Linked DNA regions of Drosophila melanogaster. The protein of the gene in region 2 purifies or fractionates together with the protein of the main gene of each other region. This does not show direct contact. Each region holds a gene or a part of one and is shown on either strand. Other genes may lie near its edges.

The links.
Region 1: the proteins of CG11396 (region 2) and l(3)76BDm purify together in Drosophila melanogaster (affinity purification with western blotting; one study listed by BioGRID). This does not show direct contact.
Region 3: the proteins of CG11396 (region 2) and CG4953 purify together in Drosophila melanogaster (affinity purification with western blotting; one study listed by BioGRID). This does not show direct contact.

What each region holds. Positions count from the first base shown.
Region 1 is NT_037436.4:19,611,246-19,621,293, forward strand, and holds l(3)76BDm (lethal (3) 76BDm), read right to left. Parts: upstream 7,277-10,048; 5' UTR 7,201-7,276; coding exon 7,035-7,200; intron 6,741-7,034; coding exon 6,579-6,740; intron 6,520-6,578; coding exon 5,595-6,519; intron 5,538-5,594; coding exon 5,289-5,537; intron 5,235-5,288; coding exon 4,772-5,234; intron 4,678-4,771; coding exon 3,765-4,677; intron 3,705-3,764; coding exon 3,279-3,704; intron 3,149-3,278; coding exon 2,493-3,148; 3' UTR 2,182-2,492; downstream 1-2,181. Other genes in the region: Lon protease, read right to left, coding at 1-16, 80-335, 499-837; PIG-F (phosphatidylinositol glycan anchor biosynthesis class F), read left to right, coding at 1,306-2,016; asf1 (anti-silencing factor 1), read left to right, coding at 7,934-8,590; ms(3)76Cc (male sterile (3) 76Cc), read left to right, coding at 9,362-9,447, 9,510-10,048.
Region 2 is NT_037436.4:20,784,765-20,791,723, forward strand, and holds CG11396 (uncharacterized protein), read right to left. Parts: upstream 3,374-6,959; 5' UTR 3,339-3,373; coding exon 3,027-3,338; exon of another isoform or gene 2,950-3,026; coding exon 2,365-2,949; exon of another isoform or gene 2,301-2,364; coding exon 2,125-2,300; exon of another isoform or gene 2,069-2,124; coding exon 1,687-2,068; 3' UTR 1,576-1,686; downstream 1-1,575. Other genes in the region: Six4, read right to left, coding at 4,302-4,407, 5,372-5,889, 5,956-6,350.
Region 3 is NT_033779.5:10,262,879-10,270,224, reverse strand, and holds CG4953 (uncharacterized protein), read right to left. Parts: upstream 3,523-7,346; 5' UTR 3,416-3,522; coding exon 3,373-3,415; intron 3,313-3,372; coding exon 2,925-3,312; intron 2,802-2,924; coding exon 2,489-2,801; intron 2,427-2,488; coding exon 2,298-2,426; intron 2,243-2,297; coding exon 1,799-2,242; 3' UTR 1,477-1,798; downstream 1-1,476. Other genes in the region: Mulk (Multi-substrate lipid kinase), read right to left, coding at 13-110; CG4957 (uncharacterized protein), read right to left, coding at 352-462, 517-612, 675-849, 906-1,264; Mob3 (MOB kinase activator 3), read right to left, coding at 3,720-3,845, 3,912-4,027, 4,115-4,218, 4,275-4,398, 4,454-4,604, 4,664-4,705; REPTOR-BP (REPTOR-binding partner), read right to left, coding at 5,186-5,278, 5,340-5,461, 5,592-5,676, 5,961-6,017; Rsf1 (repressor splicing factor 1), read left to right, coding at 6,807-7,346.

The DNA.
Region 1 (10,048 bases), 1.2 Mb from region 2:
AAAGTTGTCATTTTCACTAAGGGCAGAAACATAGGTCACACATCTGGGCGCTTAGTGGGTGTGTGGAAAATATGCTTACCGGGCTTAGGAGGTGGCACGTCCTCTACCACCTGACCTGTTATACGAATACGACGATGGGCCACCACAACCATGCGCAGCTTATCACCGAGATCCTGCAGCTCTTGGATTTGTGCAAATGTTCCGAGATTGTAGACATCATTCAAATTGGTGATAAGCTCCTCTTCGCCATCAGTTTTCTTAAGGAAGACGCCTACGTAAGGTTGATTCAGCTTGACTTTGCGACGGAGTAGATCCATGATGATGGGATTGGATACCTATTAGCACATCGGATTTTTTCAAAGCCAAGGAAAAAAGTATTATTAAGGCGTACTTTTAAATGTTGTAAACACTAATAAGAAGTCTAGCTCATTAAAAGCTTACTGACTAAATCAATTCATGATAGTGAGTAGTTATTCATCCAGTCAAATGAAACCTTACCTCCACTATCTTCATAAAGCGGGGAAAGAGAGGATTCTTGCGCATGGCCAACAACGGAACATGTGGCCACACGTCCGGCACCGCCACAGTTGCCGGAAGATGGGTATCTTGATCGGACATAAGATCGGGTCCCATAATAATATCCCCGTTGGAATCATCCCGCTTGCGGCTGTAGAAGCGCTGCACCATCAAATTGGCTCCGTGGAGCCGCTGGAGGCGCAACGACCGATCCCGGCAGTATTGCATCAGGGAACTCTGAATGGGACGATTCCGGTTCCACACTGACGACGAGGCGATGCCACGCATCATGGGGCGCACTCGGATAGCGCGGGCTAACATATTGAAAGCAATATCCACTCGCAATTTACTTAGAAATAACTAGAAATGGTAGAAAAACAATTTGCAGTCCAAATGTGTGGTGAGTGATTATGTGACGGCTGGTGAAATGACAGCGGCTGACAGTGCTGCAAAACGATTTCTTCTATTGTTGCACAGTGGTACCGGTGAAATTTTTTTTTTGTTCTACACCGCATGAACCCAATGACGTCGACAACGTTGTCCCTTATTTAGAGCATTTTTTTAATTTTGGAATTAATTTTTTGAATTTTGTAAGTAAAAAGCATCCATTATAAAATAAATCTTAATTTTTTGTTTTATATGTAAATTCGGTGATTTAAAATTTCCGAAGCTTTGTGTTTTAAGCCCACAGTACATTCAGTGTTGATAGGCGGCGAAATACAAACGAAAGGCAGGAAAATATTGTCCAAGTTTAAGATTTACCAAAATTGTATTTATCTGCATTTAATCATGGTTTCCCGATTCGACCAACAAAAGACCAAGCACCAGCTCTTCCACGTGTCCCTCAGCCTCGCCACCATCCTGATCTGCATGGCGTACATGCAGTATCGCCGGAATTGGGCACATCTCGGCAGCTTCTGGGATTCTCTTGTCGTCCCTATTGTTTTCCTCGGAGAGCTGCTAAAAGTTGTTTTGGCTCGCTTCTACGGGAAGGTTGAGGATGGCGTCCTAACCGCCAAACAGCGCCAGAAAAAGAACTCGTACTTTACGCCGCGGGAGCTCCTCGGAGGATTCACCCTGCAGTTCCTGTGTACACTCCTCTACGCCTTTATCTGCATAATTTTGGGAGCCCCGGTGCTGGGCAACTATGAGCAGACCTTCGTCTTGGCCTTACTGATGACCTTGTTGACGGTGTCACCCACGGTTTTCCTCCTCGGTGGCGGAGGAGCACTACAAGTGTGCTTCTGCGAGAAACCGGACTTTGTGACCAAGTGCGAGGACACGGCTCTGAATCTGTTCAAGTACAATGCACTGGGCGGTATTCTGGGAGCTTGGGCCGGGAGCGTGGTCGCTCCACTAGACTGGGGACGTGACTGGCAGGCTTATCCCATTCCCAACGTGATCGGAGCACTGCTGGGAAGCGCTCTGGGCAATATATACGCTTGTACGCATGTCCTCTACGCCACAGCTCGAGTTTACATGACCAAGAAACGCACTTAAATCTAATAATAAAACTCTTCATTCTGCCACCAAGATTATTACGTTGCGCTGCCACTGAAATCCACTCATCCACTAAGAACCACGTCATCATCCCGTCTAGTCAGCAGCTTAGGAACTACCAAAAAGCAATTACCACTTTAATGTTACATGTTTAATCATATTACTAGCGTGGATTATTAATGAATTCTTTTTAAATCAATCAATAATAAACTAACAAATTATGAATTTAACCAAAGACGGCTTATAAACCATAACACCTAATTACTTTCCCAATCAGGACTTATTTGTTTTATGCGCAGCTTCTTAATCAAGGAATAGGGTACTTTTGCCCGTGAAATATACATTTTCACATGCAGAGGGGCAAAAAGCTTACAAATTTTTTAAACTTAAACTCAATGAAATGACAATACCATTTTTAGCATATCATAACTGATAGACGATAACATATAATTTAATGACACCACTTGACAAACATCTTAAGCTTTAACTGCCATTACAAAGCTCTCATCCTCCAGTAGACACCGTTGGCCCACATAGTTTTCATTGGGCTCCCAGTAGTCTTCTTCATCAGCATCCGCCAGGGGCTGCCAAGCATCCTCATTATTTAGCGCTCCCTCAGGTAGTGGAAACTCCCGTCGGTTATCTAAGGTGTCGTCAGAGGAATGTCTTCTTCGTAGGAAAGAAGCTGTTGGCGCCGCTGGACAGTGGCCAGTCTCAAATAGTTTGTAAAGCTTTATGAAGTGCAGGCCACAGGCCAAGCGCTGCCCCTCCTCCCTAGCTACTAGGGCGCTCCAACTTAGGACCAATGTGGCGTGCGGTACATAGTCAGCTACACTTGCGTTGAACTCTTCCGTGGAGATGTTGGTATTGAAATACACCGTCTCTTCGTTGGTGAGAAAGCTGTGCGGGTCGTGTATCGGAGGCATGTGCTGCTCCACTTGCTGAGCGTGCTGGGCAGGCAGGATCTTTAAATGGGAAAGTCGCGAATGAAGCAATGTTTTAATCGATGGAATGTCTTTATATTCTTCTTGTGTTTCTTTCTCGAGAAGGCGGCACTGAAAATTGCAGCAAATGGAAGACTTGAGGCACTGTGCTCCAGCCTGTCCCGGGCTGACTCCCATACTGTTCATTACTGTAAAAAAATAAATATTAATTAAAAATCTCTTATATTAGTGAAACGTTTTGAAAGAAACTACATAAGTTCATATCAATATATAAATAATTGCATCTTTTAAAAATCGTATTATTATTAATTAACTTACTGTGTAACCTATCGGGATTCAACTTAAATTCCGTGGAGTACAATGAAATAGAGTTGATGTACACTTCCGTTCCCTCTACTGCATGTTGGTTCCTAACGTTCACATCTAGTCCCAATTCATTAGTAACCGCATTGCTGACCACACAAGTGGAGTCTGCCTGCAGGCAACTCTCTACCTGCAGCTGCCAAATATGCCGAACCAATCGATATTTAATGGGTGAATTTGCCACCGTTGGCAATGAGTAATAAAATAGAAGGCGTAAGGTAAAGGGTCCCGCCTGGTGTGGAGCCTGCACCCACAAGGAGATGGTTTGAACTTGCTGGGCGTCTAAGGCAGCCAGCCCAGGCCGGTTAAGTAATCGATATACTCGCTGTCCTCGAATTTCCTTATCCTTTACTAGCTTGTCATTGGAAAGATTGCGAAGAGCTTTACAAACAATGTAAAATGAAAACAAATATTCAATAATGAAATGTATTATTTACTCACAACTCATCATAGCCAGTGGCATTTGGCTGTGCTGATCCAAAAGGGACACACAGCGCGGGTTATCGCATCCCAAATAGATCTCTTCAATCGGAGCAATTCCCATATTCCGAAGAGTTACATGAACGGGAACAATTTCACCAGCCAACAGTCGATTGGGAACGGGAGTAAAGCTTACATTCATGGCGGGCAGTTGGGGAACCAGTTTGATAGTTAATCTGTTGTCCATAACGGTCTGCGATGATTGCTTGGCATTGTGAGGCCTGATCTTTTGGGTTTCAAACTGTAAGGTACCCAGGAGACTGGCTGCAGGATCCGCACCGGCTGCTACTCGACAAACGACTCCCAAAATACTCAGACGTCCGGTCAACTTTGGAGTCAGCTTAAAGTGTAAAGTTTCTTCGGCCTGTTCGGCCAATTTGATGGAAGCCATGCAGCTCGTTTTGATTGCTGCTCCTACTGCTATTTTATTAGCACTATCCGATGATTCCTCATACGTACAGGCGTTGGAGAGCACCTCATCATTGTCCAGTGTGAGTTTCCACAGAAGGTCAATCTCGGATAGGGCTATTCTACATTGAACGCTATTTGAGAGGGTTACAGCAAGCTCAATGGGTTCACCTTGCACGGCAACTGGAGTTTCCAATGCAGGCTGCTGTTTAGTGTACAAATATCTCGAGGGTTTAAAGACAAAGGGCTTATTATTGGCAGCAGTGATCACAAGCATCTCTTCAATCTTGTTCCAAATGGGCTCATCTGCAGTCAGATTTGAGTTGATGTCTATGTTAGTCGCCGGCACATGAGGTGCCACAGCCGACGGTGATTGCACTAAAGTAAGAACACGAACGGAAGATTGCACTACTTGGGGTAAGGCATGTGGTAGTAATCCCAGCTCAGGACTTCGCTTAACCAGTTCCTGAAAAATATATTAGTAGTTGAATTTGCAATAGTTTAATAAAATAGTATTTAATAAAGGCAAATTGTATGAAAAAAGTATTTTACAAACTTACATTCTGAGTCTGAATGTACTCCTTTAAGAAACTGGTCTGCTGCTGTGCACTTTGAAGGCTTCCAGGTCTCAGTAAATGGGCGAAAGATCGACTGGCCTCCTCAAGTTGTTTCAGCATGTAGGCCTGCTTGGCCACCGTATATTGAATGTGATCCTCAGCCAAGCTCCACTCACGCTTTTGGAAAACCTGATAGGCCTGGCGATAGCAACGGTATGCATGCTTTCTTTGGCCAGCTCGGGAATAACGATTCCCGGCCAGCACGATATGGAAGGCATACTTCCTGTGCATTGGCGGTTGGGTCACCAGAAAACAGTAGGCTGCCTGCTCCAGCAAGAGGGCTGAGCGAAGATCTGATTCCTCGTTGGTCATGCGAATCAATTGCTTGGCTACTTCACTATATAGTCGTGCTGTTTTTAAACATTCCATGCTTAGGAGCGTAGCTCTGGTCGCAAATTGCTGCAATCTGTAAAAACAAAATAATAGAAAAGCTGGTAAACAAATCCCACAGTTAACTTACTTGCACACTGTGAGATAACACACAATTGCATCCTCCATGTAGTCATATGTCTTTCTTTGAGCAGTACCCAGCATGAAGGCGGATAGGGCAGCCATTTCCAGGGCTCCCGCATAGTATTGCCAAGCTGAATCCGCATTGAAGTCTCGCTTGGCTTGGTGGTAGGATTGGAAAGCTAAATTGTAGTGACCAAACATGAAGTAGAGATCGCCCAACTTTCGTGTTTGGAGCTCCGCAGATTCATTGGTGTAGCTGTGAACAAAGCGGTTTAACATTAAAATTTAAAAATGGGAACAAAATAAATCTTACATGACTGCATTTTGATTGTTTGCTCCTGCTCCCGGCTTGCTAGTGACAAACCATCGTTTCGTAGCGCTCAATAGCGACTTGCTGACACCCTTTTTGTTCGTCACTCCCTCGGCGAGAATAGCCACCAGATGCTCGATATAGGGAATCAAAGCTCGAACAGCATAGTCCTGCACAAAGTGTCGTAGGTTGTCAATGTCTCGACTGGTAAGACATCCGCCGTGAGGTGCATCCGCCTCTAATTCATTTCCCCAAACATTGGGATTGATTGTTTGAGAGGCAATACTCTCGCTGCTGATGCTAAATTTCGAATTAATCGCCTCTGTGGCGCTTTCCTGCATGGGACTCAGCGGATGAAGCATGGCCAGATCGCTATCTTGAGCACTGACTCCTTCCAGGAGCTGTGACATTTGCATAGCAGGCATACTTATTACAGAAACCGCTTCCTGTGGCGATTTCGGTGCACTAAGATCAGTGGAGGGTAGATTTGGATCACTTTTAGGCTGTCTTTTAATAAACGTTGCCCAGTGATCTGGAACCTCAGCTGCACCCTGAGAATCCATCGAGTTGATCGACACCAAAAAACACTTGCTGTCTCCGAACGTGGATTTGAGCAGCTCGAATCCCTGCTGTGCTTTGGACAAGTCTCCCTGGCTAGCCTCGTGCAGCACTACGTAACTATTGAGGACCTCGGTGGGATGGAACCACTTGGGCAGTTTTTGGGGCGTGATGCTCTGCATCTGCTGCACACGTTGTCCCAGTTTGTGGGCGGTCTCCACGATCTGGGGATCTGCGCTGGATAGCACTAGCAAACAACTTAATAGATGGCGGGTGAACTCATGATCCGCCGGAAATTGCACAGTTAAAAAGGTCTCACGCCACTGCTCGAACCATGGTTCCGATGTGGGTAACTCAAGGTCTATGCCAGCTATGGGAGAATGGTAAATGAGTTACCAAAAGACATTTTTGCATCGCTTAAACCCTTACCTATGGTGGCCAGTCTGGTTTTGTCATTATGGGCGTTGGTCACAGACTCGTTGAGCATCTTCCTGGCCAAAATTGTTTGCGGCGGCCGCCAGTCCACATCACAGAAATTGAGACGGAGTCCACGCACCGATACACTCGTTCCGGACACGTCGCGAAAGTGTGCTAAAGAAAGGAGTACAAATGCATTTAATTTTTGGCCATTTAGAATTTGTTGGCAATTTAAGTTTATTATCAACAATGTTAGAATCAACGTTTACCAACTTCTGAGCTTTAAACATGTCATCCACACCATAACAACCCTTAAACAACTACTTTGTATGCAAAATGTTAAATAACCATGTCGAATCGGTTGAAAGTTCCATAGAAAAGACCTATTTTCTTAGCCGCGTCTATGCCTTGTTTACCTCACCCGCACGCCCCCTTACACACAAACCATTCACTATCCCATTCACTCACCATCATTTGGCAACTTTGCGAACGGCTGCAGGAGTTCCACGAAGGAGAGGTTGTTCCGGTGGCAAATCTCGTCCGCCTGTGGACTGGACAGCACGCCGATCAGCGGCGAGAAGATGTTCCGGATGATGTCGCGAGCATTGTAACTCTGGCCCGTCAGGTGCAGCATTACTCCAACTATTTACAAAGAAAATACAGAACACCACACAACAATTGCAGGGAGCAGCTGGAGATGGCACTTGATGCAAGTTTGTATCGAAACTATCGTTACTGGCAGAAAGTCGACAGCTGTTTTTTGCGCAGATATCGATCGCTCTTCCAATCAGAAAATATATGTTCCAATTTTTATTTGACTTGGTTTTTCTGAAGATCATTATTTTGTCATATGTGTATTTTTTGTAAACCATTCCGTAATGCCGCTGAAACTACAGCATCTAGGTTTTTTTTTATCGTTAATTCGTGTAAAGGCCAGTTGTAACGAAACGAAATTATTATTAGTATTTTTTAGATCTTGTAAACTCGTTCACCAATCGAACTATTGTCGCGTTTTGACATTCCGCCACTTGTCGTGGTGAGTTTTTCGCCACCACTTGCGACACCGAACGGTCCCTCTGAAGCGCGGGAAAGAAGTCAGCTGTCACCATTTGTGCGAAGACAAGCGGAATAATTGCGATAAATAAAAGCAGAATAGCGACAGACAATTGCACAAACCTGATTCATGTTGTAACCAAAACAAACTACTAGCATTACAGTACATATATCAAGTATTTGCTGAGCGTTTTGCAGGTGAATTTCGCAAAGCAATTCCCTAGTCGGACAAAAGCAGAACCTCTAAAAAAAGCGCGCAGTCGAAGGAGTCTTTAAAATATCGGTCTACGCTCTGCAATCTCCGAGGTACAGTCATGGCCAAGGTGCACATCACCAACGTGGTGGTGCTGGACAACCCGAGCAGCTTCTTCAACCCCTTTCAGTTCGAACTCACGTTCGAGTGCATTGAGGAGCTAAAAGAGGATCTAGAGTGGAAGATGATCTATGTAGGCTCGGCGGAGTCCGAGGAGCACGACCAGGTGCTGGACACCATATACGTGGGACCTGTGCCTGAGGGGCGACACATCTTTGTCTTCCAGGCGGATCCGCCAGACGTCAGCAAGATCCCGGAACCGGATGCGGTGGGCGTTACCATTGTTCTGCTTACCTGCTCCTACCGCGGCCAGGAGTTCGTCCGCGTGGGCTACTATGTGAATAACGACTACGCTGACCCGGAGATGCGCGAGAACCCGCCAACAAAGCCTCTTTTCGAGAAGCTGACGCGAAACATCCTGGCCAGCAAGCCGCGCGTCACCCGATTCAAAATCAATTGGGACTACGGGCACATCAACGGGAATGGAAATGGCGTGGAGAACGGCCATCAAGATGAGATGGCCACCGATGGACCGTCCACATCGGAGGCGGCTTCAGCAGTTATCCATCCCGAAGATGATAATAGTTTGGCCATGCCAATGGAGAACGGAATCAAGGCCTTGAACGAGAACTCCAACTCACTGGCCATGGAATGTTGAGAGCTGCCGGCAGTCCGAACAATGACCACACTAACACACTGTCTCTCACTTAAACCAACATGGGCAACAATGGATAACTTAGCACTCCTGGTCCTCGTCCCTCTTTTTACTTCTAAGTAACTAAGATTAAAGCAAAAATATATGTATACATTAAATTATTTCACAAAACATGCATTTTCTTAGCTATATTTGACTTTTCTGTGCGCACTTATTTGTGTTTGAAGAATGACTAATACGTTCATGGCAAAGTTCAGTTGGCCGTGTTCAATAGAAATGATACCCTTTTTTTTATTAAGAAACTCTATTATCAATTATTGCACTTGTACAGCATTAATGCCTAAATAGAAATAATAAGCATATTCTTGAAAGAAACTCCGTTTTCAATAATTGAATTTTGTACAGAACTGATTTTTTGTCTAAATGATTTATATGATTTTTTTGTTGTTTAAAAACAAGTTAAGTAAAAAATGGGAAAAATTCACATCAGATTGGAAGAGAAATTTAATATTATCAGGACGGCATTTTATTATATTTAATTATATCTAAAAATATTCATAAACCTGAAACTTTGTTTTATTATAATTTTTTATATTATTTTTTTTTAATATAATCTTTGACTACACATTTTCTTGAAATTCCGTTAAATCAAATAATACTGGATCAATTCTTCCTTTGTGCAATATTCAGCAACAATTACATTAGAACAAAAACAGAAAAAAACTCAAATCTCAAATCTTTGCTGTACAAAATTTAAGTAACAGACATCTTAGGATGCCTATCAGCCAACACGATCTTGCCCGTTTTGCCAGCGCCCCGGGCAGTTGCCCTCGGATCAGCATGAGCAACTCGAGCAATACGTGGAGAGTACTCCAGAATTTGTGAAATGCTTAAACTGATCCATCCTCCTGATCGTCCTTAGGTATCTCAGCTATTCGGATCTAGATCTGGGCAGCAAGTTTTGCGGCGGAGGATCCCTGAGGACGGAACCTAGCTGCGATCACTGGAAGTTCTGCGAAAAGGTGCCCAATCGCTCAGACGTGGAGGCCGACTCATTGGGCTGTCCTGTGGGCCTCGTCTGCTCAAATGCCACTGTAAACAATCCCTGCGGATGTTCTCCCAAGCAGCAGGAGGCGAATGTTCTTAACTTCGCCACCTATCTGAAGGCATTCGCCTTGATTTATGTCCTGCCCGAAACGGACTGGACGGCAGAGAAGATCGACATGCTGCTGGAGGAGGGCACGGATTTATTTCGGGCCAGCTCGGATGTGAATCAAGGGCACGACGACCCCGACGAACACAAACTACTGGAGCCGGAGATCTACACCAACGAAGAGAAGCGGATCAAGAGAAATTTCAACCTAGAAGGCCACACCTTTACTTTGGCATTGGAACCCCGCTATCTAGGGGTAGGATCAAAGCCCCTGGACCAGCAGCCGCCGCATATCATCAAAAATCTAG
Region 2 (6,959 bases):
TATGATGACTAATCGGATGTTAAATATTAATCGATGTTATATATTAAACAATCAATATATGCATATAAAACAATAGTTATAGTTGCAGTGCTAAATACTAATAACAGTTGTTCAACACGTCTTGAACACCTATATTTCTTTTTAGTTCAGCTTTATTTTTTGATATTTAATACCATTAAATACCATCAATATAATACCCCTTAATTTCGGAAAAAAAAAACTACGGCTTGAAGACGTGACTATCACCAAGTATAGTACAGCAAAGTGGCCTAATTGAACCTCTTGCATATAAAAATAATTCAAATATAGGATAAAAAACCGCCAAGTCTCCCTTTGGCTAGAAAATATCCAAAGCGACATTGTCACGATGGCAGATAATAAAGTGAGCGCGCACCGGAATCGAATCGAAGAAACCAGAACCACCACCAGAGAGCTATAACTGCCGTTAATCGGCCAGTCGACAACAGCCACTCAGCGGAGCGAGATCGGGGGCACGCTAGAGTCGGACGGAATGATGCGTGGAGATCGTGGGGAGTAGTAGAAATTAACACTAAATGTTGGCCTGATAAATCCAAAAAAAAAAATCAGAAGGAAGCCCTTGGCCAGAAAACAGTTAATTCGACACCCACTCAAACGAGGCTAAGAAGGCGCGCATGAGCGAGAGAGCCAGAGAGAGCGAACACAGCTCTGCTCTCGCACGAATGAGAAATCAAAACAAATTGCAAAAGAATAGAGATTTTCTGCCTGGGTTATGTGTATATGTTTTGACGAGCGTGTACCAAGCGTATGCGCACCGCCACAAGCGGAATAAAAAATATACAAAATAATTTGCTGCACTCGCACGCACACACACCAGCGCACCTCCGCTGACACACACACCCGCACCAACTGCAGGCATTATGCACGCCATATAAACAATTGCGAAAAAATTACACTTGGTTTCGTGGCCCTCGACAGCTACGTCATAGCACTAAAATAATGGCGCGCTTTTTCAGTGCAGCCACAAAAAGTCGCTTATAATTAAAAGAAAATGCAAATAATATCAATCAGGAGAACTTTGCGACGCCCAATTCCAGGTGAACTCGAGTAACTCGATGCTCGACGGCGTAAACAAACAACATTCTGGATGCAACGAAAATTTCTCTACACTTTCTTTTTTGCACCCACCGAGGCACAGGCACATCAATATTTTCCATTTTATATACTGCCTGGGCATCGTGTGGCCGCACTGCGTTAAAACGCCCTGAAACGCCACAAAACTCACCTAGTTTCAACTATCCTAGTCTGAAAAGCACGCGCTACGTGTTTGCAAACATTTAGGCGTGCGCTTGGCGTAAATATTCCCGCGATTTTCTTTGGAAATTAAAAATAAGTTCTTCTCAAATTCTTTTTCAGCGACGAAACTCGGAGCAGTCGAATCGAGATGGCATTGCTGCGATAGGCAGCACGGTATCGATTGCCTGCTCTTTCCGCACTATCGTTTGTCATTCGCAACTTTTCGTGTACGATAGTTCTGTTGTATTTGTTTTATAATCTATTAAATTTGAAGTAATTAAATTAAACAGATAGGAAACTATCTATAACATTATTTTATTTCTCTAATACTTTTCTAGTGGACTCAAAGAAGGGCTCACCTATTTTGACCGAAAGTTCCGCTTGCTTGGAATGTCTAACAATATCTCTACTTTAATTTATCGTCTGCAATTTTAGACAAATTTCTATGCTTATGTTGAGATCCGGTTTGTATCTGTTAATTAGGCGCAGTAAGTTGTACTTTTTCGCCTTGGAGTTGTTTGATTCCAGTTCATACAGCGTCGAGAGATTGACCAGCAAACTCTCGTTGAGGGACTTCTGGGGATTCAGGTTGATAGCGCGCTCGTACAGATTTATAGCATCCTTTAGCTTTCCGGCGTAGAGAAGGCACACTCCCATGTTGTTCAGGATCATTGTGTTGCCGGTGTCCAGGTGCAGAGCTTTCTGGAATATCACATAGGCCTCGGGAAAGTCGTTCTTGGCCACAGCTATTAATCCCTTATCGACCAAGTCTCTGAGATCAGGCGCGGAGTTTCTACAACAAAGCATATCATTGAACTGAAAATAGCGTTGGTTAGAGTAGGGCCTTACATCTCCCTTAATCTCCTCGAGACGGCAATCTTCTGCTCCGCTCCAAATATGTCACCAATTTGCAGATAAATGCGGCCCCAAGCGGAGTACAAGGATCGCCGATCCTCCTTGCTCAGGTTGGAGCGCTTTAAAAGCGTTCCCTCCATTATGTCGTCTATCATACTGAATTTCTTCATCTGCAAGAATTAAATGGGCAATGTTACACTCATTTAAACTACAGTTAAGTTTTCTTGAACGTACCATCAATCCACAGTTGATGATTGAATGCAAAACCCGTTCGCATCGCCTTTGCCAAAACTCCTCTGCCGCCTTGTTGTGCAGACTTAAATAGTGCTCCTTGATTTCCCGCGTGGTCACATGAAGTTCTGAAAGTCTGTCCAGGGCGACATGGGGTTTACCCAGATATATGGGCAGCTCTGCAAGCAAGAGCCGGAAGGAAAAACAGGCTATGGATCCACTTTTCCCGTTGTACATCTCCGGATAGAAGTCGTAGAAGACATCGGGGCTGGTAAGTTGGCCAAAAGGTTCTGCCTCGGCATTCAGCAGCTCAAACTCGCCCAACTTGGCAAGCAGCGCGAGGCGCGTGAACCACAGTTGCAGGGAGTGGGGCGAATGCTTTGCTGGCTGACCAGATCGCCCGTAACCCTGACCGTAAATGGTCAGAAGACGGCCCGTAAGATTCACGGCAGTGCGATAGCAACCGGCGTGGATTAGTGTTCTCAAGCCGCGCTCGTCCTGGGTGACATCATCGACGCGAAGGATCTTGCGGTAGGACAACTCGGCCTCTCCGAGGTGTTGAGTCACCGCCACGCTGATGGGATCTGCCTGGAACAGTCATAAAGTGTCAGTAAGTAAAAGTGTCATTACCTTTAAAAAGAAGTATAGAAGCATTCTATACGCACCAAGTCAGTTTGCAGATGGATGCCCGGCATAATAAGTTTACCGGGCTCGTTTTCCCGCGGCAACTCCCACAGATTTCTTACGTCGTCACCGACTTTTATAGAATCCTCTCCTGCCTCAGGTGTCTCAACATATTCAGGAGGTTGGAAGAACCCGACGAAGGTGTTGGACATCATGTTTGGGGCGGAACTGGTGCTACTGGCGCTGCTGGAACTCCCTTCTGTTGACAAGTTGTTGCCCTTGGGTTTGCTGGCCAGCTCATCGAAGAAACTGGGCGGATCATTTGCGAAATATTCGCTTATTTTGTGTGACATGTCTTTCTTTGATGGTTTTTCGATAGGCTTTCAGGGATGTCACTATCGCTGCTGCCACAGTAAGAGCTATCGGCCGCGAATGGCGCCAATACTTCAGTGGTTTTAAACAATCTTATTTTGATCCGTTTACCGTATTGCTTGCTAAAAGTTCTTTTCAACGTTACTATTTTGCATTTGCAAAATTTTTTTACACCGAAATTTTCATAATAAACAAAAAGTCCAAGCACAAAAATATTCATGTGTTATATAATGATTTTTACTATCTAATATATATATTTTTTTGAGACCAGACTTGGAACTTGTGCTGTGGAACTTGATTTAGGATTCTTTATTTCCTAATTTTCTTAAATTTTCTCTTCTTAAAAATGTCTATATTTCATGGCGTAACGCAGATTAAAATGTGTTGCGTTGAAATATGTGGTACATAAATTTTAAATATGATTTTAGTGTTAAGTTTTAAGATTCGGTTAGCGCAAATGACTAGTTTGGCCAATTGTTTGTATTAGTTTTTACAAAAATAATGATTAGGGCAAAGGAAAAGAAACTAGCGTTTAACCAACATATATATTAACATATAATCACTATATGAACATATTGTCTCTGGCTTACCTATATTATATCCCTTTTATTCGTAGGCCAGCATTTTCCATTTGATTAGCCCATAAAAATTATAGCTAAGAGAAATTATCCATATTGATTTTCCATATGATTTTCAGCGACAGTGGATATAAATTATTTTTCTTTTACATAACCCAAATTTCCCAAATAAAATGCACACAAATTCATTTGTTGATCTAATGTCATTTGTTTATTATTCGAGTTATACAGTACATAAAGCAAAAATTGGTTAATTCTAGAGCTAACAAAGATGGCCATTTGATGGCCACTTTCCAGTTGCCTGTGTCCTAACATACAAACGCATTACACTTTATTTACACAAAAACAGCCTCCTCACATCGCAGTTTATTGCCCATTGAAAATCGTTTCGGGATAATAGCTTGGAGCATTGAACATGCGCGGGAATCCATTGCCATCCAGTTGGCCCACGGGCAGCACCGACATGATGTCCCTAAAATCAAACAATTAGTTTTTTAAATATATTTATAACATAGCACTTAAAATATAGAGTTACTATATATAAATATATGTTTTAGTTTCAGGCAGTGGAACTATCTATGGAATCCCCCTAAAATTCCCTTAACAATTATCAATGTAAGTGAAGCATGACTCCATTTTTTAAGATCGCTCTGCGTTTTCCAAATGGTTCTAGTCATGGAAGTGCGACTGTGAGTTTTCGAGCAGCTAAAAAGAACACATTTACTCCACTTGTGAGCTCGGGTGTGGTATGTGCTGCAATTTGACGCCCTGTAGAGGCGATGCGATCAAACAGCGGGATGCGGGCGGAGGAGGAGAATGGGAATGGTGAGGAGGATGAGGGGCACATGCTACACGCATGCGCTGCGTTAGGAGTCGGGCACGTCCCGAGTCCCTGGGCTCTATAAATATGCAGAGGACCGTGCAAGGAGCCGGCCGAAATTGGACATAAAACACGCTCAAGTGGGCGGCCTGGAGGCACAAGTGCCGTACGGAACGGTCACTTACAAACGATTTTTAATGCCAATTCCAGAACAATTGATTATATTCGTTCGCATTTCGGATTTCGGAGTTTGGTTCTGGGGCGCAACACGCTCAAGTGTTGAATGAATTGTTTTACGAGTTATGAGGAAGTGGAAATTACCATGCCGCCCTAGATTCCCCTCCTAACGAACTTGGTTGGCCCAAGTTCAAAAGAAATGTGAAGAGAATCTAACTACACTTCAAATGGTATTAGCTCTTTTCAAAGTTGTTTTTTAGGAAATAGTCAATAATCTCTAATTACAACTAATCTTTTGATTGATTCTTTGACGATTTTCAGTTCTTAAAATAAAATTCTATTTTATGTGTTCAAGATAGGATGTGGGTTATAGTTAAAAGGATAAGTTATATAGTGGATTTTATGGATGAGGACATGAGAATCTATGATTTCAACTCACGGTCTTTGCTGGGGCGTGCGATCCCGCTGTCGACGATTCTTGAACCAGTTGGAGACCTGGGTGAGCGTGAGCCCGGTCTTCTTGGCCAGCGTCTTCTTCTCGTCGGGGGTGGGATATCGGTTGGTCAGGTAGCAGTCCTTGAGAGCGTTGCGCGACTTCTCCTTGAAGCAGTAGACCGTCTCCTCGCCATCCCAGATCGTCTTGGGCAGGGGATACTTCTTGCGCAGACGGTACTTGTCCACGGCGCCCAGTGGTCGGCCACGCACCTTCTCGGCCTCCTTGTAGTGGGCCTTGAACCAGAGGTTCTGCAGGTCCACGTGGTACTTGATCGAAAAGCAGTGCGTCTCCAGCAGGTTGTACAGCTCGTGGAACTGGCCCAGATTGTAGGCCACCATGGCGCGGGCCCGCAGGACACTCTCGTTGGTCTTGAAGAACTCGCTGGGCGGCAGGCTGCAGAGGAATGTGGTCAGCTTCTCGATGTCGCCCTTCTGCTGCAGTGCCTCGCACATGCACTGGATCTAAAGAAGAAGTTCATAGCACTTTATGTCTGCAAAAGTCTAGGATATATGGGAGAAGTATCCTACCTGATCCGTGGAGAACTGCAGCATCTTGGCATCGATAGGAAAGCTGCTCACGGCGGACATGTTGTGGGCGGCTGTGAGATTGGATATGAGGTGGCCACCACTGCCGGCATTGCCCCCCAATCCGCCGCCACTTCTCTGCAGGCCGGCGCATAGATCCGTCTTCGTGTTCCCGTTGAGATCGCCCAGGTTGCCACTGCTGCCATTCTCAAATATTATGCTGTTCAGGCTGGGATAGTGCGTGGGCGTGGTCGAGGCGGTGGGCGGCGGCGACTTGTCGTAGTCATTGGTGATGTCCTGAAACCGCCGCTCCAGCAGGTGATCCTTCTCCACACCCTCGTAGGGTGCGAACTTGTCCAGCTGCAGGACCGTTTTGCATGACAGGTTGCCACGATAACCTGAAGATTGAAATGGAAAACTTATGTCAAGCAAATATCTTAAATTTATATTACCAAATGTTATTTAATGATAAAATATTTTAAATAATAATTTAAATTGTCAGCTTTAAGCTGTCCAATTCTGTATCGTAAAATAATAGGAATTCAGTTTCTGGGACATCCAGATGAGCACCAGAAGATTTGCCAAAGAATCAGGTTGCAATGATCACATCTATCTGACACCTTGGATTAGCAATAGGTTCGTTCTTTCCCACGTGCCACTTCAATGGTGGTCAATGAAAGCCCCACTTTCCCCGGGTGCCCCAAAGCTCAGAAGTGACTAATCGACTTGACCAAAACGATCGCCGTCTTTCGACACCTCGGACGAAGTGGACAGCCACTGTGGATCATATTGAGCCCGAAAGAGACATCGGCAAATAAATAAATGCGATATGCTTTACACAGCTAAATGTGTGTAGATATGCAGTTGTGAATATGTAAATCTTAATACATTTTAATACAATTTAATTGATGGGCGAACTGTGGTTGCCCTTCAATAGTGTGGAATACCCTTTAGTTTTGATAATAATAAAATAGTTTAAAAAATGTTATGTAAAGGATTATCAAAGG
Region 3 (7,346 bases), on a different chromosome or scaffold from region 2:
CTGAATGCATACTCGATGTGAGTTTTCAGCGCTTGCAGCGCGTACACAGATACTGCCGCTCCGAACGTGCATTTCTTCCAATTATTCCGAATTACTCTTAAATAATTCATATTTTCAATTTCGACCGATGATTTTGATTCCACATGTATTGGTTTGGCCGCACACAAACAGCTGGATTTTAGATCGTCAAGGGTATTCCAGCCAGTTTACATAAGCTTTAAAATAACAGAAACGTTTAGCGCTGAAACGGGAACACTGAAAATTGCACACTCTGTTACTTAACAGTGTATCTTAATCAGTTAGAAACAAATTTATTTATTCAAGTTTAAACTCAACGTTTTATTCAACAAGTCATTTTTGTTCCACATTGTCATAGATATCCTCTAAGCCTGGGAGGTTTCTCAGTTTTTCTACAAAAACATCATAGGTCTTTTGCTCTTCGGGTGATAATTGCACTACATTCTGAAAGATAATACTATTTAGATAAAATGAAATTGAATGAAATGAATGATTTACCATTGGTGAAAATATGTGTTCACTGTTTTCCACGGTGTATCCGGCTTTTTCCAAGTTCCTACTTAAGCTAGTTAAAACCACTGGACTGCATAGGAACTGTATGTAAATGTAGGAAAATTAATATTTATATAATATAAATGAAAAAAAAGAAAACATACATTGACGGAGCCATCGACATTGTCAACGACTTCGATCTCTTCGGCGCCCAACTCTATAGCATCATTGGTGGCTTTATCCTCCAAACTGGATTCATTTTGAAGTTTCGCAGTATCATAGCGAGTTTCAATCAATCCAAAATCCTCGAATAGGCTTCCAACATCCATGAATTCGCCTCTAAAAATCTCATAGGTAAATTATATCCAACAAAATGATGCAAATTGAGATATTACCCGGCTTTTTTGATCATCGGTGTCGCATCCATTTTAACGCCAGAAAAGTTGTCGGTATAGAAAATGCATATGAGGTACACGTTTCTTTTGTACTTGATGTCGAGTCGGTACTTCTTTAGTTGCACTTTGCTGGCCTTGAATTTGTTTAACGTATTTTGTATGGTGCCACTGGGCATGTTTTGCTTGAGGGCTCTTTCTATTTCCGTTCGCAAAAGGGAGTTAATTGCCGGATCCGCGGAGTTTCCCTCCTGAATGGCCATTCGAATTTGCCTCGAAATTTTTGCAAATAGCGCCGCTCGGGCCCCATCTTTCAGTGCTTTGGTGTGCTTGATATTGGCCCATTTGGAATGGCCTGCCATTCCACGAATCGGTTGCTGGGCTTGGAATATGCATTTTCCAAAATGCGTGGAAAATGTGCACACATTTCGTAACATTTTAAGTTCTAGTGTTGTGATCTAAAAAGTGGACTAGTGTTACCGGCGCAGAAGTTCCTAAAAATCCGTGTTGCTATAAAAAATGTGGTCTAAATTTTCAAATATATTTGATTTAAGTTAAATGGGGTATTTTTTTTAATTTGTTGTGAGAACATGGGGATGTTTTTTATTTATTTAGTTTTTTCGTTATGTGCTAACAAAAGAGAGATCTAACTATCTTTGTACAAGAAAGTATATAAAATATGCAATTGAAATTAAGGATTCCATAATGCACGCAAGACCACACTAAAGGACATTTCAGCAAATTTTCATTAAAAATTTTACCGCCGACTTTTTTTTTATTAAAGTATGGCGTTTTACATAGAGTAACAACATAAATTATAATATCTATCCCGTCACTTAAAACCCCATTTCACATTAACATAAATTTAAAATATACATTTTTGCATCTATTCAATTCTATACAACTTGCAGTTGAACTTGCTTTTGGGTCAAACAGCTTGCAGCACTCTCGTAACGAATTAACTTATTCTGATGAGTTGTGGTATCATTATCGTAATCCGAATTAACAACAAAAACATCGACGACGTTTTCAATGGTGAACTGCTCATTTTGGAGCGTATTCGTCAATACCAAGGGTGTTATTTTCACGAGGCCCAATTTAGATGGACAGACGGACAATGGAAATTCGGCAGATTCGCCACTTTGTAGAAGATTCAGCATAAAATCAGCACAGCCCGTGTATTGACTATCGGGCGAAAACTTGGCAGCCAATCGCACATTCAGTTTCATTGGATGCTCGGATGTGTTCGTCACGCGACAATTGAACGTGAATATCGTGCCGATTTTAATGGTGTTCTTCGCATCCAGTACTTCCAGGCGGAGCGTTTTGCATTCGAATGGCTAAAAAATGAGAATATTATTTGGGATCTATTTTATTTACAACTTGTACACCTACCAATCGCTGTAGCTGACTGGTTTGCAGTCTGCCCTTCTCGCCCAGATTCGACCTCCAGACGATGTCCAGTTTACCCACATTATTAAATTGCCGCAGGGTATCTACATTCTTCGCAATATCTCCTTTGGGCTGCACGCAAGATACGAAATTGTATGAATTTTTTATAGATAAGAGAATTCAACTCATCTCACCTTGATGCAATAGAGGAACTGACAACTATTGTTGGGTTGCAGCATATGTTTCACCGTGAATACGGATTCCCCATTTGGCAGCGTGTTCAGTGGTGTGACGGAGTAGTCCTCGGAGCCATCCAGCTCCACCTTTTCCAGGCAGAAGGGACTGGTGGTCACGTTTTGGATTTGTGCCTCCAAGTAGATTTCGTCGATTTCCGCATTGTAGAACTTGGTTTTCACATCGAGTGGCTTCAGCACTTGGAACTTGAAAAACTTTCTCAGCGATTGAGCATAGCCCGCAGGAGTCGAGTAGTTCACTTCGCAGACGAGACTGAAAGGAATTCAGGATATACAATTAATGATATTATTGGGGCTTCCAGAAGACAGTACTATGTACTGCTTTAGATTATATGGAGGAACAAGCTTGTGGTTGCAACTATCTTGTGCTACTTACATGTGTGTTCCGATTTCCTTCACCTCGTATCGTATCACATCGTCAATGGTTCCACCCGGCGGCAATACCACCGGCGACTTGGCGTTCTCGTGCATGGATAGGTTGATGCGTGACGTGTTCGACTGTAGATCCGCCTTGACGGTGACGCATTCCACCGGATTCGGGGTGGTATTGTGGACGCAGATGTAGCTGGCGAATGTTTCGCCCAGGTAAATGCTGCCGAAGGACTGCGGCAGCAGTAGCACCTGGCCGGCCGCCAAGGTCTCCGCACAGGCACCGGACATTCCGTCGCTCTCCTGGGAGCTGCTAAATCTCTGGACCAAATCCGTGGGCTCGCAGGTTACCACAGGTCCAAGGCCCACCAAAGTGGGCCGCATCAAACGCATAACTAAGAAAACAACAAAAACATCACACTTTGTCCATAATTTGCATTACAACTAGAGTTTACCTTTGAGTGCCACCAAGTGCGCATCCGGTTCAACCATCTCCATGTTGTAAAATACTCTAAGAAGTGCTTAACTTTAACAAAAATAAATCAGCAATTTAATTTACTTAATGCGAAAAACTCTGTTTACATCGGTGCGACCAAGTCTATTGAACTTTATTATACCAGTCTTTACAGAGGAGTACCCCTAACACACCATTTTGATGAGAAAATAATACCAACAAACAATAAATTTGAAAAACTAAAATTATAAAATTAGTTATTAAGAAAAGGACACCAAGCTTTGTGTTCGCTTATTTATTTTGTAATAAACAATACATATTTACATCACAATCTAGTACGAATTACTTTCAATCCTTATCCTTGCAAATTCGAGATGTCATTTCTTGTAGGGGTTCCAATTCCTTGGCCGAAATCATGTCAAATTCTTGCACAAAGTAGTAAAAATGTTTGTAGCAGGCATTCACGTGAGCTTCCTGAAAGTGGTGAAAACATTTAACAGTTTATAGAGTTAATTAAAGTAACTATTTAGTGATACGCACCGCTCCAATGCTCACAATCCGATCGAAATGGTGAATATAGACGTGGACGAAAACACGAAAAAGACGGGTTAAAATTTTACGACTTATTGCTATGAAGTTCTTGGGAAATGGAACATCTGAAAGGAAGTATGGTACACATTAAATAACTCATATACGAAATATGCGAGAGGGCTTCTTTAAAAGGAAAGTATATAATTTCCTACCCGTGGACACTGGAAAAACAGCTTCGTTGTTAATTTGTGTCTCAATCCAGTCCATTAAATGCTCAATGTACTTTTGGGCTGAAAGGGCGGTTGGCTTTTTGTATCTGAAATCGTAGCTACATTAGTTTATGCTCTTCGCAATATCATTTCCTGCACTTACAGATCTCCATCGGCCCATAAGTACTCATATCTGGAACCGCCAGACATCGTGGGACACGTAGTTTCGTTGCAAAACTCCGAAACGGTGCCGTAGATCAAGTTTATGCGATTGAAGAAGTCCACAACTGAAATATACAACGTTGGGTATACTGTATATATTGTATAATTCACAATTCTCACCGTGCACAGCTAGCCAGTCGTTGAGATTCTCCCCTTGCGGCAAACGCACCACTTGCCGCAGATTAATCCCGGATTGCAAACTGGCCTGGGCTTGCTTATGTAAGGAATACCTAATGGTTCCGGAGGCAAATGGCTTTTTTGGCCTAAAGGTCTGAAAATTAGTTTAAAAATACATCAACTGCATATGATTTTGTTATTGACCAAACACACCTTGCCCTTTTGGAAGAATTCTAAAAATCCATTTAAAGCCATAATATCTTGTTGGAGATTCTGTTGGTTGTGAGAATATTTTGGCACATATGTAAGCGCTGCTTACAGCACAAAAGTTTGTCAATTGAATAACTATTAATGGCTGTTTATAAATAATGTTTACATTTATTCAGTTCCTTAGACTATTCTGTATTTTTATGCCGATGGAGAGATGGGAGAAACCATTGATAGGCTTTTCACGACTAAGTTATCGAACCCTTAGAATAATCGTTCCATATATCACTGTTCCAGTGTACCAATTGGTTTAACACCCTTAAATAACAAATATTTAATTAGTTCTTATTTATCATAAAAATACTTTAATTTGGCTTTAATCACTATACAAATGAAACAATAAAAAGCTGTAAAATGCAATATAGAAAATAACAAAAATTTCTGCAGTATTTTCGTAATAATATAAATAGTAACCGTCGTACATTTATTATAAAAGTAATATTCTTAAGCTAAAAATAAGAATGTAGGTTATTCTTGTTTGAGGATTCCGAGTTCCTGAAGTAACTGGTCATTGTTGGTTGGAGTGTTGCTTTCGCTCAACTGGTTATTCCATTGAATTAACTGCAATAAAGATGAGAATAAATAAATTGGTTGGACGTGGCATGATAAGTTATATACCGACGCGCTCCAGTTCCGTACGCAAAGCAACTACAGCCTTCTCCCGATCCGCCACCAGTTCCTCCAGGTACTGATACCGCAGCTTCTTGCGCGCCCGGCATTCCCTGGCACTTTGTCTGCTGCGTTCTGCAAGGGAAAATACACGTTATATAAAATTCCATAGGAAATAACATGTATTAGTGTTTGGAAACTTTGTTACTATTAAAAATAATACCGTTGTTTAAGTATTATAAGTGGAAATTAATGTTGTTCTTACCTAGTTTGGCTTTCATGTCCAATTTTTCAGTAGACGTCTTTCTTCCTGGTTTTCGTCCCCTTTTTCCACATTCCTTGCGCGTCTGCTTATAAATATAATATAAAATGTAAATATTTGACGATATCCCAAAAACAATTTGCTTTCAATATTCTTATTCGCAAAAATTTAGTTCCGATAAGTCAAACTTAAAATCTTTTTTGAAAATAGGCGCTTTTGCATGATAAAAATCACATATGTATATACACGCATACACAGAAGATAGCTTATATATGTGTATATACATACACGCAAGGCCTTACTGCGCATTAGAACAATTCAGATCATGTTCAAACAAAAAGACCACATCTTTTATATTTAATAATATATTACCACTTGTGTTTCCTCCGTTATTGACATTTTGTTGCTCTGTATCTCCATATCAGCCATTATAACTCTCAAATAATACAACAACTTTGCAACTCTTTGTTATTATGCGTCTTTCGTAAATACTCAAGGTAACAATAAACAAAACCACTACACACAAAGGTGCCAATCGAAATATATCTTAACAGAAACGATGGAATGGAACACATTAAGGGAACTATTTGTATTTTATATTTAAGAACAAAAATATAAATAAAGTTTAAATCGTAACAAATTTTCTTTTAATGACTTAAAATGATAATAGTCATTATATTTAAATAGTTAAATTATGATAATAGTTAAATTATAAATTAATTAAATAATAATTAATAAATGTTCAATATAATTATTCATTATTTGGGGTTTGAAGAAAATATAAAAGTACACGGCTATATATTAACAAACATTTTATATATTGTTTTACTTTATTTACTTTACTAAAGATCATACAAATATTTATAAAATTATATAAATTAAATTGACGTATTATTCAGATTACCATGATACATTTCCCAGCACAAAGTATAAAAATAATTAAAAATACAAGTCACTAGAGCAGCGGGAAGTCCCTTTTTACGGGGCCGTTAAACTATAAATACATCCCAACACACGTCCATTCTCAGTGTTCCAAATGCGAGGATATTTTTGAAAATTAGCATTTTTGCAACGAGTTTAACCACCCTGGTCGAAAAGTTGATATAGATACAAACGCTAAATTGTCCGGTGGTGATAACTTATTGATTATTTATTTTTCAAGGCAGCTATCCGATTTGCAGGATAACTCCGAAAACGAATCAGAAACAGTGAATCCAGATGTCCAGCATGGGTGATCAGCGCGGGACACGGGTGTATGTCGGCAATCTGACCGACAAAGTGAAAAAGGATGATCTGGAGGGGGAGTTCACAAAGTATGGCAAGCTGAATTCGGTGTGGATAGCCTTCAATCCGCCGGGATTTGCGTTCGTCGAGTTCGAGCACCGCGACGACGCCGAAAAGGCGTGCGACATACTGAACGGATCCGAGCTGCTCGGCTCCCAGCTGCGCGTGGAGATCTCAAAAGGGCGGCCACGCCAGGGTAGGCGTGGCGGACCCATGGACAGGGGCGGACGACGCGGCGACTTTGGCCGGCACAGCATCACAAGCGGTGGTAGCGGCGGAGGCGGTTTCCGGCAGCGCGGATCCAGCGGATCCTCAAGCCGGCACACGGAGCGGGGCTATAGCTCCGGCCGATCAGGTGCAAGCAGCTATAATGGCAGAGAGGGCGGCGGCAGCGGCTTCAATCGCCGCGAGGTTTACGGCGGTGGACGCGACAGCAGCCGCTACAGCAGCGGAAGTAGCGCCAGCTACGGACGC